Danio rerio: one gene and its partner. The protein of the gene in region 1 binds, or shares a complex with, the protein of each later gene. Links are inferred from orthologs where the notes say so. Each region holds a gene or a part of one and is shown in the gene's direction. Other genes may lie near its edges. The genes, in order: hnrnpua and ybx1.

What was found.
Region 2: hnrnpua (region 1) and ybx1 share a complex: the UniProt entries of both Homo sapiens proteins name them as parts of the coding region determinant (CRD)-mediated complex. The link is inferred for Danio rerio from reciprocal best matches to the Homo sapiens genes HNRNPU and YBX1.

The regions. Positions count from the first base shown.
Region 1 is NC_133192.1:12,688,115-12,696,611, reverse strand, and holds the start of hnrnpua (heterogeneous nuclear ribonucleoprotein U), read left to right. Parts: upstream 1-3,658; 5' UTR 3,659-3,782; coding exon 3,783-4,197; intron 4,198-6,132; coding exon 6,133-6,247; intron 6,248-7,949; coding exon 7,950-8,023; intron 8,024-8,179; coding exon 8,180-8,319; intron 8,320-8,497. UniProt on the Homo sapiens protein: DNA- and RNA-binding protein involved in several cellular processes such as nuclear chromatin organization, telomere-length regulation, transcription, mRNA alternative splicing and stability, Xist-mediated transcriptional silencing and mitotic cell progression.
Region 2 is NC_133183.1:56,868,860-56,876,225, reverse strand, and holds the end of ybx1 (Y-box-binding protein 1), read left to right. Parts: intron 1-771; coding exon 772-1,092; intron 1,093-1,180; coding exon 1,181-1,266; intron 1,267-3,229; coding exon of another isoform or gene 3,230-3,232; coding exon 3,233-3,461; 3' UTR 3,462-3,498; intron 3,499-4,077; 3' UTR 4,078-4,419; downstream 4,420-7,366. UniProt on the Homo sapiens protein: DNA- and RNA-binding protein involved in various processes, such as translational repression, RNA stabilization, mRNA splicing, DNA repair and transcription regulation.

The DNA.
Region 1 (8,497 bases):
CAGGGAGTGCACGAGAAGACCGGGCGCCAGGCCGTGCCAGTATTCACTGGATGTTGCTCGGCGGCACATTTCGAGCAACAAACACGTAATGTTCTTCGCGATATTGCGTTTATGTACGCAAACCGCAAGGAACTACAGCACAGACGGGCCCGGGTGAAGCTTCACGAAGCAGACTTTGTGAGATTGGCGTGGCTCCACTCGTACCGTCGGTATTGAACTCACCTTGGTCAAGTACAAACAGCAACATCGGGCGAACTGACAATGCTGACTGAGAGCACACGAGCTTTATAGAAATCCATATACACATTTTTACAAGGCACGTCACTGTTGTCTCGTTGTCATGGCGAGCGCTGAAGAGGGCTCACCTGATTGGAGCACTCAGACTCCGGAATCTGCGTCATGGCAAGTTGCCGTCTGCTGTGGACAAAAATATATTAAATATATATTTTTACATTTTTGGTGCAGTGTAATATTCTGAGATGCAGTAGAATATGGAGACAGATGAATATAATTGGCTATATGCCGAGCTAATGTTGTTCCCATACTTATAAACTTCCGGTGACCGGTTACTGTGAGTTTTTTCCACTTTATACGGTTCCTTTTACAGCATCCATGTTGTAATGTAATTAAAATACATTCAGTTAAATAAACTTTGGCATTCGTTTAGTTGTTCAAGCGTAAAACGAGACAAAATAACTTTTACTCCCTCTCGGCCGTCAGAATCGGCAGGCTAGCGCAGAAGCTCCATTGAATACACTGGGGTAAAATAGTAATTTAATGCAGTGCTTCTTGTACAATCTGAGACCCACTTTATATCGGACTTCACTCAGCCAGTGGATATCGCTGATTTTTAAAGAAAACCGACCCTAAACGTGCTGATTTTTTTAATTTGGCATACAGTTTGCCGGAAGCGCTTAACCCAGGTTACTGGCAAATTAAAAGTCCTATTAGCATGCTTCAGCATATACCCCAATATCCCAGCCTCTGTCCATCATGGCCTCCCAACCCTCCCCATATCATAATTGACTTTATCACGCTGTCTTCTCTCTCTGTGGTGTGCGGTCTGGTGCAAAATGGCTGCTGTCGCGTCATACAGGTGGATGCTACACTGATGAGGAGATTGCTACCCAATAAATATCAAACTAGCTAAATTTAATAACAATATTTCACCTAAATGCTCATTTTGTACTCAATATGATGAAACACTAAACCATTTATTTTGGGAGTGTACTTACTGTGAAGTGTTTTGGGTTGACTTTTCCAATTTCATAAACAAATTCTTATTTCCAAACTTCTGTATTTCCTCAAAAATTGTATTCTTTGGTTACTCTCTGAGTGTAGATCCTTCTCAGTGTAAATTTATTATTGATTTATTGCTTTATTGCTAAATTTTATATCCATAAATGTGAATTTTCAAAGAAACACCCTTACTTTTTTATTTTCAGAAAGGACTTTGAAATTTATGTGAACTCTTTAAAAGACTCTAACAATTGCACTGGATGTAAAACGCTTTCTTGGTGTAAATCATTTAAACTTGTTTAATTAGCTGGATTTCTATTTATGTAACCCTCTTTGTCTCTTTGTTCATATTATATCTTTGTAATGTTCTTTCTTACATTTAAAAAAAAAGTGGATGAGGAGATTCCCTCTATGTGTAATGCGCTTTGAGTGCCAAGAAAATATATTTCATGTGACCAGAGGAATAAGGCAAGGATGTAGAAGCTTTCCTCAAATTATGTATATTGGCTGCAGAACTATTAGCAATTCTTGTTAAAAATGACAATATTGCAGGCATTCATTTTATGGAACACAATAATTAGTCAACTAGCTGATGATACAACTCTTTTTTTTATTTTGAATATTATATTTTTATTTTGACTTCAAAGCAACACAAAGCAATACAAAAGGCAACAACAATTATAAAGACAGAAAATAAACTCAACAAAAAAAAAGACAGAACAAAAAAAAGGTTTTAAAACAATTATTACATCAGTTCCTCCAATATTATACATGGGTCAACAATGTTACACATATAGCCAGTGGGGTGGGCACAGGCAATATGGTGATCTTGCAGACGATGACAGGGTAATACCTTTAAACTGTTATTCTTGGCATTTGTCAGATAGTTAAAAAGGGTTTCCAGGTGGCTTCGAAGCCAGCAATGTTTTCAGAAAAATTGTGTCTAATTCTCTCTAAATGTAAAGTGGCAGAAAATTCTGAAAGCCAGGATTTAAGGATTTAAAGTGGTTTTGATGCCTTTTTCATAAACAAAGAATAATGTTTTTTAGCTATATATCACCATTCTATATTGGACAGCTTTTTTAATTTGATGACTGAACCTACAAATTGAGTCAGATAAACCTAAACAGTGATTGCTGGATCAGGGGCAAGGTCATAAGAACAAGCCCCAGAGTAGAATCTGAACATTTTGCTCCAAATCTCAAAAGGTTTTGGCCATGACCAAAAAATATGTCCTATGAAGCCTTCAGCTTCACATTTATTACATTTACAGGAGATAGAGGACTAGAATTTATTAAGCTTAACCCTATAGAATAATGAAGCCAATGCACACTTTTATATTGGATTAGGTGTCTTGAGTTAATAGAACATGTCAAGAGTTTAGATGCAAAAAACATCTGAAATTTCCATAGAAAATTTACTTTTTTCTCAGCATCCTTTGTTTATGTTGAGATATTTTACTTTAAAGCCCAGGAAAAGGACTTAATCTTTGCCATTTAAGTGATATGAATACACATAAAAAATACTCCTTTTAGGGAAATGTTTCAAAAGGCATTTAGAGGTTTTTGCATCTTCACACTCTTATGTATTTATTATGACCTTGATAGACTTTTTCCAGTCCCCATTGGTAATTATAATCTGTAAATCTTTCAAGAATCTTTCAAATACAAAGTAGATATGTCAAACTGATTATTACAAACGGCTATAAAATGGGAAATCAAAATAGAGGCATCAGGAGAGGCAGAAATTAATTTATATACATCATGTTCATCTGCTCATCAAGTGGCCAAATTCTGGCTTTCTGAGGAAAGTGAAATGAGATGGTGAGTTTTTTTTTTCTGCTACACTTTTTAGTTTAAAACAAGTTTGACCATATATTTTTAAAATGATGGATGATAAAAAATTTGTATTTAAAAATAAGTATGTTTTTATTTTTCTTTATTAATTTTTTATTTGAATAAAACTCATAGCATTATTTATATAACTGTAGTAAATTAAAGTTTAAATGCAAATTCTTTGTAATAAAGCAGTATAAGCACTCTAGAAAATATTTTTAGTACGTCAAAAAGATTCGGCGAAGATTAGTAATTAAAATGTCACTACAATGCATTATTTAAACCTCATAATTGAATAGAAAATGAGGTGAATAACTGCAGAAAAGGTCCACTTTTTCAGAAAAAAGAGCCACCCTATCTAAAGGACTGTAAAATATCTAATTAAATTCCATGTTTAAAAACAGAACAAAAAATGCCTTAAGTTTTAAACAAAAAAGCCACACAGACAATACAATTTCTAAAAATTGTAAAACTACGTCTATTATCTTAAATCAATATCGATATTTACGGTAGTCTCATACGCGCTCGGCTATAACGTGCTTTACGGTAGATTATATAAAGCTGAGCTGGCCTTGTTCCGCTTCGACTGCTGCCTACAGTGACCGCACCGCGCGTTAACGGACAGTCCGCTCACAACAACCTGCCCTTTCCGTTCATATTTTCCGTTCATAATTGCTCAAATACACAAGTCTGAAGACGACGGTCACAATGAGCGCTATAAACGTGAAGAAGCTGAAAGTGAACGAGCTGAAGGACGAGCTAAAGAAAAGGAGTCTGTCTGATAAAGGGCTGAAGGCGGATCTTATGTCGCGCCTGCAGGCCGCACTAGACGAGGAGGCGCTCTCTGGTACTAACGGCTCCGAGCGTCGGTACGAGGACGGAGGAGACCCCGCCGGCAAAGACCTGGAGGAGGACCCGGTGGGAGAGAGCATGGAGGAGGAAGAAGAGGATGGAGGAAACGCGGAGGCCGAGCATGATGATATTATGGAGGAGGAAGAGGAGGACGCCGGGGTAGAGATGGATAAATCGGATGAAGACGCTCTTCTTAAAGATGATGATGGTGATGATGATGAAGATGAAGAGATGGAGAAATTCGATGAGGATGATGTGGCTCTTGACAAGGGTGAGATTATACGATGAAGATCGAGTAATTCATAGTTACTTTGTGTATAATTGGGCTAAAATAATTCATACTGTCAGCAGAACGCGTATACTGGGGTTTGTTATGGGCTCATTGCTGCTGTCCCATTTGTTTCTCCTTGAGTTACTGCTACAGTTTCAGGTTATATGATTTACAGCAATAGGCTTTACTTTGCTAAGTATGTAAGTATTTTATTTTATTCTAATCTAATATAGCTAAATGTTATACATAATTATATTAATTATAATAACATGCATAATATAATACAATGTATTTCTTTTTATTTCAAATATTTATTTCTAATAAAATATAAACTTATATTTTTACGTAATTTAATTATTTTCTTATTCCTATTTCCTTTATTTAGTGTTTTATAATTTTATTGATTATCCAATAGTTTTTCAATATATATATTTTTATGGTGAATGCAACATCTTCTTTACATTGTGCTACATATGTCAAACCTTAATGTAATACATATTTCATTAACCTAATTAAAGTATGAGAAATATCTGCAAATTAAATGCAAGAAATAATGAAAAAAATCCATTGTTATTTTTTTTTATTAAAAATGTACATTTTGATTTATTCATTTTATTTAATTGATCCCTTATAATGTCTTTGCACCAGTACACAGTTGAAGTCATAATTATTAGCTCCCCTGTTTATTTTTTCCCCAATTTCTTTTTAACGGAAAAGAAGCAGATTTTTTCAAAACATTTCTAACCATAATAGTTTTAATAACTCATTTGTAATAACTGATTTATTTTATTATTGTCATGATGACAGTAAATAATATTTTACTTAAGAATTTTCAAGATACTAGTATTCAGCTTAAAATGATATTCAAAGGCTTAACTAGATTAATTATTAACTAGGCAGGTAAGGGTTATTAGGCAAGTTATTGTATAATGATGGTTTGTTCTGTAGACTATTGGAAAATATGTTGCTTAAAGGGGCTAAAAACTCAAACACTATATATTTCATGTTTATTGACTACATGTTTTTAGTGGAAGTTAAACTTTTTCAGGTCCATAGATGCCCTACAGTATTGAGGAGCACCTCATGGTATTCTTTGTTGTCATTTGGCAGATGCTTCTACCCCCTTTGTGCTAAAGGGGGGTTAGTGGCTTTAGCCTACATCTGTGACCATCAAACAGGCCTTATGATGCTATTTTAATTTATTATTTAATTTAAAATAATGCTTTAATTTTCAAAAAAATGTATATTATTTTCCACTTTCTCTGCATTGCTGCAGCTCTGATTGAGTTTTGGTTTCAACCAAGCCCCTTTCTCTGGATAGCCAATATCTCTGATTGGCCATCTGATTCAGTCAGTGCTCTGTGACACCTCATTCATTTGTATACTATAGTCATGAACATTAGAAAAGCATTTTAAAGCATCATATGGCCTTGTCAAGTCTCGCCACTCTTTTAATTATTGTCTTAAGACATTAAAGTCATGTAGGACAACAAATCAACGTAGTGACATACTGTTGAGTGGTATCGTCATTTCATTTGCGATACGAGTACAAGTATTTTAACAAAGCATTGACCCGATACTGGTTTCAGTATCGGTGCATCGCTAATTTTTATGTCACAACATTTGCAGTTCTTCAAGATGCATGCAATTTGAATATGTAAATGTGTGTTACTCAGCTCAAAATTGCACAGTTTGCAGTTGTCTTGGCATCAACCTTCTGTCTGTACTCATACAATCCCGCAGTGTACAATACCCGCACTGTCTGACGTCGCTCCTTGAGCATAAATTTTCTTTTAAAGCACTGCTCATTGCAATTCATGCATACCCTAAACAAGAGTATAAATCCTCCAGTAATTCTGTGGACCATCATGTTACATCATGCCTGGTCCAGCAGGGAGGTACTCTTCCTTACGCTTTATTGTTTGTTTTCCAAAGGGGATGCGGACAAAGACAAGAAAGATGAACAGAAGAATAAGAAGGGTGTAAAGAGACGCCGAGATGAACATGGAAGGGCCTACTTTGAATTTATTGAAGAAAGAAAATACAGCCGGTAAGAATTGTGCAGTCGGGCTGCTGGTACTCCTGAGGTTCCGCTGCACCTGAAAGATTTATGAGCAGTTCTGGCAGTAAAGAGCCAGATCTGACATCAGTGCAAAGAAACACACATTTTTACTGACCATTTGAAATAATTTTGAGCTTATAATAATATTAAGGGCATCTCTTTCACCTCAGTGCTCGGGCTGTTAAAGAATGAAATCAATGTGTTTTGGTGGAAGTTATATTGTATGGGTTATTGTTTTTATCAGATATTATGTTTAAATCGTATATTCTTCTTTTGTGTTATTATTATTGTTTATGTTGTGTTTAATTAATATATGTATTTGTTTATGTATTGGTGATATGCTAATTTGTCTTTTTTCTTTTTCCAGGTAATGCATTCACAACCACTAAACATTTTTATACTCTTAAAATGTAAATGTTAAACAATGATGAAATCAAAATGGTTATATTTAAATATGTATATTAATGCTGCACAATATATTGTTTCAACATCAACATTGCGATGTGCGAATCTGCAATAGTCACATCACAGGATCCGCAATGTCATATTGGGATTATAAGTAACCAGAAAACACGTCTCGTATCATGCGATTTGTGAAGTCGTTGCAAAAGACTTTTATTATTTTCTGTCTTTGTTTTAAAGGAATGTGACTAAGATTTCAGGAGAATTTGAAGCATTTAGGCACAAGTTTGTCGCTTTAATGGAGATGAATTGTGTTTAATTACTTAATACAGTAGAATAAAAACTGTGCAGTCTTAATTTACTTTTGATCATTAAATTTTTTAACTTCAATACTGTTAAACTGTCCAACCAAAAACCATTAACTGCACCCGCAGCTGTTTTTCAGTCATTTAAAACCCTCATGTCCCAGTCAGATCTCCAATTATGTGATGTTCACATTTATCTTGTGGATATTTCTCAGTAGTTTAGTCATTGTTGACACTGTTATTTTGTTTAACTAAGTGTCTGCTTTATATATATATATATATATATATATATATATATATATATATATATATATATATATATATATATATATATATATATATAATTTTTATTATTGTTTTTTGGATAAGATTAATATTTGTGTATAGGGAAAATCTATTCATTCATTTCTGCTTTTTATACTTTGACTATTTTGTACTCTATTTTTTTATTTATTTATTTATTTTTCATATAGTCATTTTAGAAAAAGATTTTCATATTACAATGTATACAGTATTGCAGGAAAACTAAACTAAATATTTTTCCCAATATTGTGCAGCCCTAATATATATTTTAAAAACTTATTATTCACTTAAATATATTATATTTTTTTTATTATTATTTATTGTTTATAGATTTTATATATTTTTAAATATTTTATTTTAATATATAATACAATTTTTAAAAATACCAACACAATATCAATGTTTTAACTTCTGATAAGTAAAAACCCTTTGACAATTTTTGAGAAATCCAGAGAAAATTATCTTTAAAATGCCTTTATAAAAAAAAAATTACAATAATAAAAAAAAATGGCTGTGATGCGCGCGCGCACACACACACACACACACACACACACACACACACACACAAATAAATGGACTTCAGATGCAAAAAATCTGACAGACTTTTGCATCTGAAGGCTAAGTGTATTTCACTTGATTACAAAATAGTAAATCAGCTAAATTATTTTCCTTTCTCTCAGGGCAAAGTCTCCTCAGCCCCCTCTGGAGGAAGAAGATGAAGAGTTTGATGACACAACCGTGTGTTTGGACACCTGTGAGTATGAAGATCTTACTTAAAAACAACTCGCAATATGTTTTTGATGCAAAATACTGGTGATATGGTAAAGCCTGCAGGTCACAACATCGTTTCTGCTGAATGTGCAGTCAGTCTGTAGCTTGTAATAAATACAGTCTCGTCTTTTCTCTTCAGACAACTGTGACCTGCACTTCAAGGTGTCTCGTGATCGCTACAGCGCCTCGTCTCTTACGATGGAGAGCTTTGCCTACCTGTGGGCAGGAGGACGAGGGTCTTATGGAGTGGACAAGGGCAAGGCTTGCTTTGAGATGAAGGTGAGAGTTCGCTCTTAAAGGCAAAATATGTACAATTTTCTCTAATGCTGTGCAAAGATTAATTGCATCCAAAATAAAAGTTTGTTTTGAGATATATGTATAGTGCTGCCTTTGGTGATTGCCTAAAGATAAATACAAAAAACAATGCATGTGGAATAATTACAGCAGTTGCTGTCAT
Region 2 (7,366 bases), on another chromosome or scaffold:
GTATTTGATGTCACACTGCTTTGTTTACTGCAGTAATGAAGGCAGCACACTGTTCTATAGGTGACATCTTCTGGATTAACATTGTTAAAGTATATGAATGATGTTTTAGTTTAGGACTAGTTTCTTACAGTCAATATTTAGTGAATCTATTTAATGTCGCCAATGTTATTGGTTCAGACTTGGTGGCGATGAGGTCTTCATGTTTGGTGATACCTGTTGGTTGTCAAGTGCATGATGTACCAAAAAACTAAAACGTATCAGTTTTTGTTATCTGCCAAAATTTGTTAACTATACATGTTGATACTTTTAATATGATGTTTCTCACTTTCATGCCAAACAACAGTTTATGATTTTGCTAATTTTTTTAAGTTGAATTTATATGGTGTTTCTGTTCAAGTCCAAAAAAAAAAAAAAAGCGGTGAAAACATTTGCTTAACTCTAGGTGTGTGAGAATTGCCAAAACTGAAACTAAATGTGTAAGAACAAAATGAAAATGTTGACAGCAAATTAAAAGCCAAACTAAAACTAACAAAGCCATTAATAAAAATGATAAGCTGAAATTCAAAATCAGAGAGGTTATGTCATCAGAACTACTAAAATAATTCTCTGCGTATCCTAAATAAAAATGCTTTGAAGCCGATATTGATTAAGCATCATATTTCTGGCCAGACTCTGAATGACTTACTGGAAAATTCTGCATCCATTATCTAAAGCAACAGCCCATCTATTAAATTAGCGGACACTTGATCTGCATTGTCTTCATTCTGTCAGGGGGCTGAGGCAGCAAATGTTACCGGCCCGGGTGGCGTTCCTGTGCAGGGTAGTAAGTATGCAGCTGACAGGAACCGTTACAGGCGGTACCCACGCAGGAGGGCCCCACCTCGCGACTACCAGGAGAACTATCAGAGCGACCCTGAGGCAGAGCCCCGGGAGAAGAGAGAGGGGGCAGAGAGCGCCCCCGAGGGGGAGATGCAGCAGCAGCAGCGCAGACCCACTTACCCCGGCAGACGGCGCTACCCACCATACTTCGTGCGGAGGCGTTACGGCAGACGCCCCCCCTACACCAACTCACAAAGAGGAGAGATGACAGAGGTATGCTTTTGGTGATGCCTGAGCATCAGTCAGTAAATTAAATTGGAAGCTGCTTTTTTGACTGATGGATGCTTTTCTTGAATTTTAGGGTGGTGAAGGTGAAGAGAACCAAGGGGGTCCAGACCAGGGCAACAAACCAATGAGGCAGAACTACTACAGAGGCTTCCGACCAAGGTTTGTATGTCATAAGAGGAACAATACTGCTGCTGGACTTTGGAGATCTTTCAGATATTCATGATTTTCATTATTTAAGTTTTCTTTTTCTATTGTTTTAATTAAGTATTAATTTAGCAATTCTATTTATTTATTTTTTTAATAGAATGATCCACCCCAAATTACAAGTTTCCTGATAAATTACTCTTGGGTCATTGAAGTAGGCCTGTCACGATCAATATATAGACTTACTGCACAACACATGGACTTGACCTCGATCATTTTTGGTGATGCAGTATATATCGCCCATACATAATCAGTTCTAGCAACGTTTTAACTGAGCAGCCTCTTTATGGTTCTAAACATTGTAGTAATTCCTAGAGTATATTTTTATGTGGATGACTGACAGCTGAAAATAGATCTGCTAACATATCACAGACTTTGTTACTTATTACCTTGCACTTTTATTCTATTTAAATTTTTTGTTAACATTTTATTGTTTACAATATGCGTTTCACACTTTTTGATTCCAGTGCCTGATTATTAAATAGTTAAAATGGCAATTAAACAATCTTAAGAATAAATTGTGTTCTTTGGAAGTGTATTTGTTTTGTGGTTAATATATTGTCATTCTGGCATTATTTAATAAAAGGCTTTTAAAATGACAATAATATTGTTTATCACTATACATTTTGGTTCAAAATGTTGTTTAACAAAAAAATAGATATTGTGACAGGCCTACGTCTAAGATGTAGATGACTTAATTTTTCTTCTCCTTTTTAGCTAAATCTGTGGTCTTTGGGGATTTTATATTAGAGCAGTAAATGGTTCTGGGTTTTCTAGAATAAAAATAAAAGCATACAAAAGAGTCAATCAATATCTCTGTGCAAGTGTGACTAGTCTTTATGATTTGATTTGTCATTTTTGATCTTGATTTATGAAAGTGCAAAGGCACTCATTCAAACAAGTGATGCAGTTTTTGTATTTTGATGACTGACTAGAGTCGCACATGCACCAAGAACTGTTTTTAGCTTTCTACAGTGCGGTCAAACACTGTAAAGGTTCAGTTTCAGTAAATGAAAACGGTATTTGTTTTTGTGTGAACCCTTTTTTTTTTTTTTTTTTTTAAATCTCACAAATCAAACCTCATTATGTCCATCCTGCACAGTCGAGCTTAGGAAGAATAAAGCTAAACCATAATACTGCAAGATACACCGAATAAGTGCAAGTCTGGAGCATTTTGCTTTTTAAATGTTTTACTAATTAACCGCACCCTTTTTTTTTGTGTGTGAGAAATGAATTAAAAGTTACCTCATATGTTGCTTTTAGTATTAGGAAATTGCAATGGTAAACTGCATTCTTTCTAATGCTTTGAACATTTGGCATGAACATTTCTTCGAATGATCTTTCAAATTATTAGTTAAACTAACTTCTATTGCTCTTTAAATAGACTTCCCGTTGTGAAAGACTGTGTATTTAGTATCATGAACTAATAATGTATTTATGGACACAACTAAAAATCCAGAACTGTTCTTGTAACATTACTCCACTTAAAGTTAACATCTATATTTTCATTTAACAAGCACATACTTTAACTAATAAACTAAACATTCATTAATGTATTTACAAACATGTACAGGATCCTGTTTTGTAAAGTGTTACTATAAAACCAATAGCTGTCCCATCCCGTTTGTGCTCTTACATTTGGTTAGAACTGTAAAGTAGTTTGAGCATCAGTGTTTCCCAACCATAGTCCCGGAGGACCACCAGCACTGCATGTTTTGGAAATCTCCTTTGTCTGTCAAACCCATTTCAGGTCTTTCAGTTTTTAATAATGAGCTGATGATCTAAATCAGGTGTGTTTGGTTACGGAGACATGAAAAATGTGCAGAGCTGGTGGTCCTCCAGGATTGTGGTTAAGAAACACACTGCCTTAGAAACTGATACTGGGAATCTGATGGACACTTCATCATCTGTGTTCCAGCAGGGGTCCCTCACGTCCCCGGCCAGTGCGGGACGGAGAGGAGGATAAGGAGAACCAGAGCGAGAGCGGACAGAACCAGGAGCCCCGTCAGCGCCGCTACCGTCGCAACTTCAACTACCGCCGCAGACGCCCCCAGACAACCAAGCCTCAGGACGGCAAGGACAGCAAGGCAGCCGACGCATCAGCCGACAAATCAGCCGCTCCCGAAGCCGAACAGGGCGGAGCAGATTAAACCGCCACCGGCTTAAACATCCAGACCATCCGGCCGGGTGGGTGACGCCGTTTCATTTCAGCTAGTACTGCATGTACTTTAACATACTTGATCTTCAAGTGTGTTGCAATTTGTACAGTAGCATTCTTTTGTTTCGTTTTTTCTATAATTGTTTTTGTTGACAGAGTCTCATGAAAGATCTGAAAGGCACATTTTGCTTAATAAATGTTTTGTTGTTGCCTAAAGGAAATAAAGAATATTTGAAGCAGAATGATGTTTGGTGTTATTTCATGACAATTAAGCAGAAGTTCTTGTGGAAAATGTTTTAAATACAACCTTAGCCAAGCGGATTGTAAAATGTGCAGTCATTTTCATGTGATTTGTGCTTAAATGTCATGAAAGTTGTGCTGGTGGACTGATTTAATGCCTTATTAGCTCCTTTTAGACGTAACTCTAGATAATGGATGATGTTTTAGCTTTAGCTCGCACTTTTCATTGATGGAAGGTTGGATGATGGAATGGATTTGATTTAGCAGACTGTCTGCTTTGTCCTTTCACACACATTTTAGTGCTTGTAACTGATGAGTTGCTTCAAGCATACTGACTTAGTGTTTTGTGTGTGTGTTTGCTTTCACAGTTTTGTCAAGAAGAAACATCCAACATCTGAGCAATAAGAAACAGATATGACTTCGATCGTCTAAGCTTGCAAAAATGCATTTCGACCAGATTACCACCGATTGCCTGCAGACTCTATGCAGACTTTTTTTTTTGTTTGTTTTGTTTTTCCATTATTTTTGTGACAGCTAAAACTTTTGGGGAAACAGCAGATGTTTTTCTAAATCGGTCTTAAGTTTTTACACCAAATGGTTTTTAAATGTAATTTGATATCTGGTCAGTTTGACATTTTTAAATAACTTTTTATGTATCCAAACATGAATTTTAACAAAAGGCAAGCTGAAATAAAAACCAGAAACATTAATCTCGTACGAGTGGTGTTTGTTAACAGTTCCTGATTCACACTAGTCTAAAAATCATCTCTACAAACAGTGTCCTGCGGCTGGGGTTCGGTTCACACGTTGGTCTCTTTGCGGAGTCTCTCCATACGCTGGATGTTGTTCTCCATGGCGGTGCGGTTGGTGATCTGAGTGGCACAACTAGCAGGAAACCAGCCTCTCTCCCCATCTCTCATGCGCTCTCCATAACACCAACCTACAACAGTCATACAACAAACATTTGAATCTTCAGTCCAAAGCATTGTGGGAGTTTCTGTGGGAACACTGAGTCACAGGATGTCATCATATCCTATTTGTTACCGTGACACACTAAAGTGGTATTTGCAGGGTGGGGGTAGTGCTACATGAAGCTTTGAATTATTTACAAATCTTTTGTTTGGATGGGCATATCAAATTAACACCTTTTTAGTTTTGATAATTCTGTGGCTTTTAGCTTGTGGTGATCTGAGGAGTACCATAAAATTAGCATGATTCCCACAGATGGCCCCCCAGTGGTGAATCTGAACCAGTTTTGTCCTTTCTCTAAACTATGGGTCTTGTTTATATAATGTGAAGAAATCGTTCTAAATTTGATCTGAGATCATTTTGCAAATGTGCGATTCAACCTGTTTTCCAGAAGAGACATTTAGAGTTCGCAAAACATCTGTGCTGCGTTTCAAATTGTATGCATACGTATTATATAGTACGCTAAAAACACAGTATGCTAGCTGTGTAGCATGTCCGAATTCGGAAAAAAAAACAGTATGCGAGAAGTACCTGGATCACCTACTATATCTGTCTAGATTCTGGAGTGCGCATCCAATCCATGCTACATAGGGCAAAAATGCACACTCAATAATTATTTTCCATCTTAAACGACAACGATATATTTCGATATCAGTAGTTGTTGCTTCCAAATTTAAGAGTATCCCAAAAATGACTGAAGCTACAAAAATTAGAGGGGCCATTAAATGGCATAACATTTCAGTGGCCGAAAATTCAGAACATCTCTATTATCAACACACTTTAAGATTCCCATTGTTGTACATTTCTGCCCTTGGATCAATATAGAGTAAAAATCATTGACAATTTTATCACGTTTCAATATAATATCTTTTATCGACCCAGCCCTAACTTAAATTTCAGATAAAGACGTCCGATCACCATCTTAAAGTAAACACCCCTTAATTATTGTCCTTGCCACATTAAAAAGCACACACCAATATTCCAATTTCTATGCTTAAGAATTTACACATACACCAAACAATTATGGGTTCCACACAATTCTTTCATGTTGTCTCAACACAAACCAATTATTTTACGTAATTGTTTTTACACAATTAATAGGCCTGAACATAAAACAATTTAGTTGTCCCAAAAACCTTAAGAAATGTTTCTTCAACTCATTTTAAATAAGTAGTTGGAACTAGCAGCAAAAGTCATTTCTGAGTGGGGGAAAAACAACTGAACTAATAACAGTATTAGTATTACACAATAGAATAAAATAATTAGGGTTTCAAGAGTAACAAGAAACTTAAGATTTAATAAAACATTTGAGTTAAAAAAGTCAATTATAATGCGTGCTTTTCCAGAGCGGTTGTTGCATTTACAGCTTTGTGACATTTCCAATGCTTCAAATCATTTGAATAATTTTGCGAGGTTCAATTGTTGAAGCTTTGAAAAATGTTTCTCCCATTATAGCGGTCTGCTTAGTCTACATTACAAATGACGTCAAGACTAAAGGTGCGTCTTAAATTGCATACTTATGCACTATTCTACACAATTTTGTTGTCTAAATAGTGTAGTGCAGTGGTTCTCAAACTTTTTTTTATCAAGTACCACCTCAGAAAAAAATTGTCTCTCCAAGTACCACCAAAATGAGCAGTATTGAAATACAATAGCGTAGAAGGCCCAGTAAAGCAGCTACATCTCTGCAAGGTTAAAAAAAACGTGGCTGATTACCTCAGAACTATAGGCTATATGGCATATTATTTACATCATTTTTGATAAATTTTTAAATGTGTGTAGCATGTACATGACATATTTCATTCCTCCACGTACCACTAGAAGGAAGCCTGTGTACCACTAGTACAGTGTACCACAGTTTGAGAACCACTGGTGTAGTGCATTCATGCTGAAAACTCATAAAAAATAATAAGTGCACTTTAATTACCCGGATGATGCACTCGTTCAACCGGTAAAATTAAGTGCATCAGGTTGGACACTTCACGCACTTAACGGCCACTCGTGTAGCGGATGGGGTGCACATGTAGGATTATTTATTGTGGATTGTAAAAGCAAAGTTCTCCTTTAAGAGTGATTACAGCGCCTCCCGATGGTGAATGCGGTTATACTCATGGCAGGTATTATTTGGTACTTTGGTCATTTATTTCACTGATTAGGAGACTGACAAATAGCGATGGGAAGTTCGGATCATTTTACTGACTCGGATCTTTGAGTCTTGATTATCAAGATGAACGAATCTTTTTTCGAGTCATTTGGTTCATTTGGTTCAATTTGCCAAAATATTATTAAAATGTTACGAATTGCTTCCAAACACATCTACAACAAGCCCAAAAGGTTGACTGCATGACAAATAAGTCAAAAGTAGAATATAATAAGGAGAAAATAATAATTCAATGTTGTCTGCTCTTCTGTCTATGAAGGTATTGTTGTCTCTTTGCTCAGCTCACCTCTTCATCTCTTCAAATTTCAGGGGTTCATTCACGTTACACTGACAGTCACATATAATCTTAACCAATGCACTGTCTAAGCCGATAGGAGCCATGATCGTTCGTTGTTTACGTGACAGAATGACTCAAACCCGAGAACTCGAGAGATGAACAGTTCAATTCTTTTTCCGGCTCTAAACGCATATGATTGCCTCGTGATGAACGAGTGACTCAGACCCGATAGAGGACTCGAGAGGCGAGT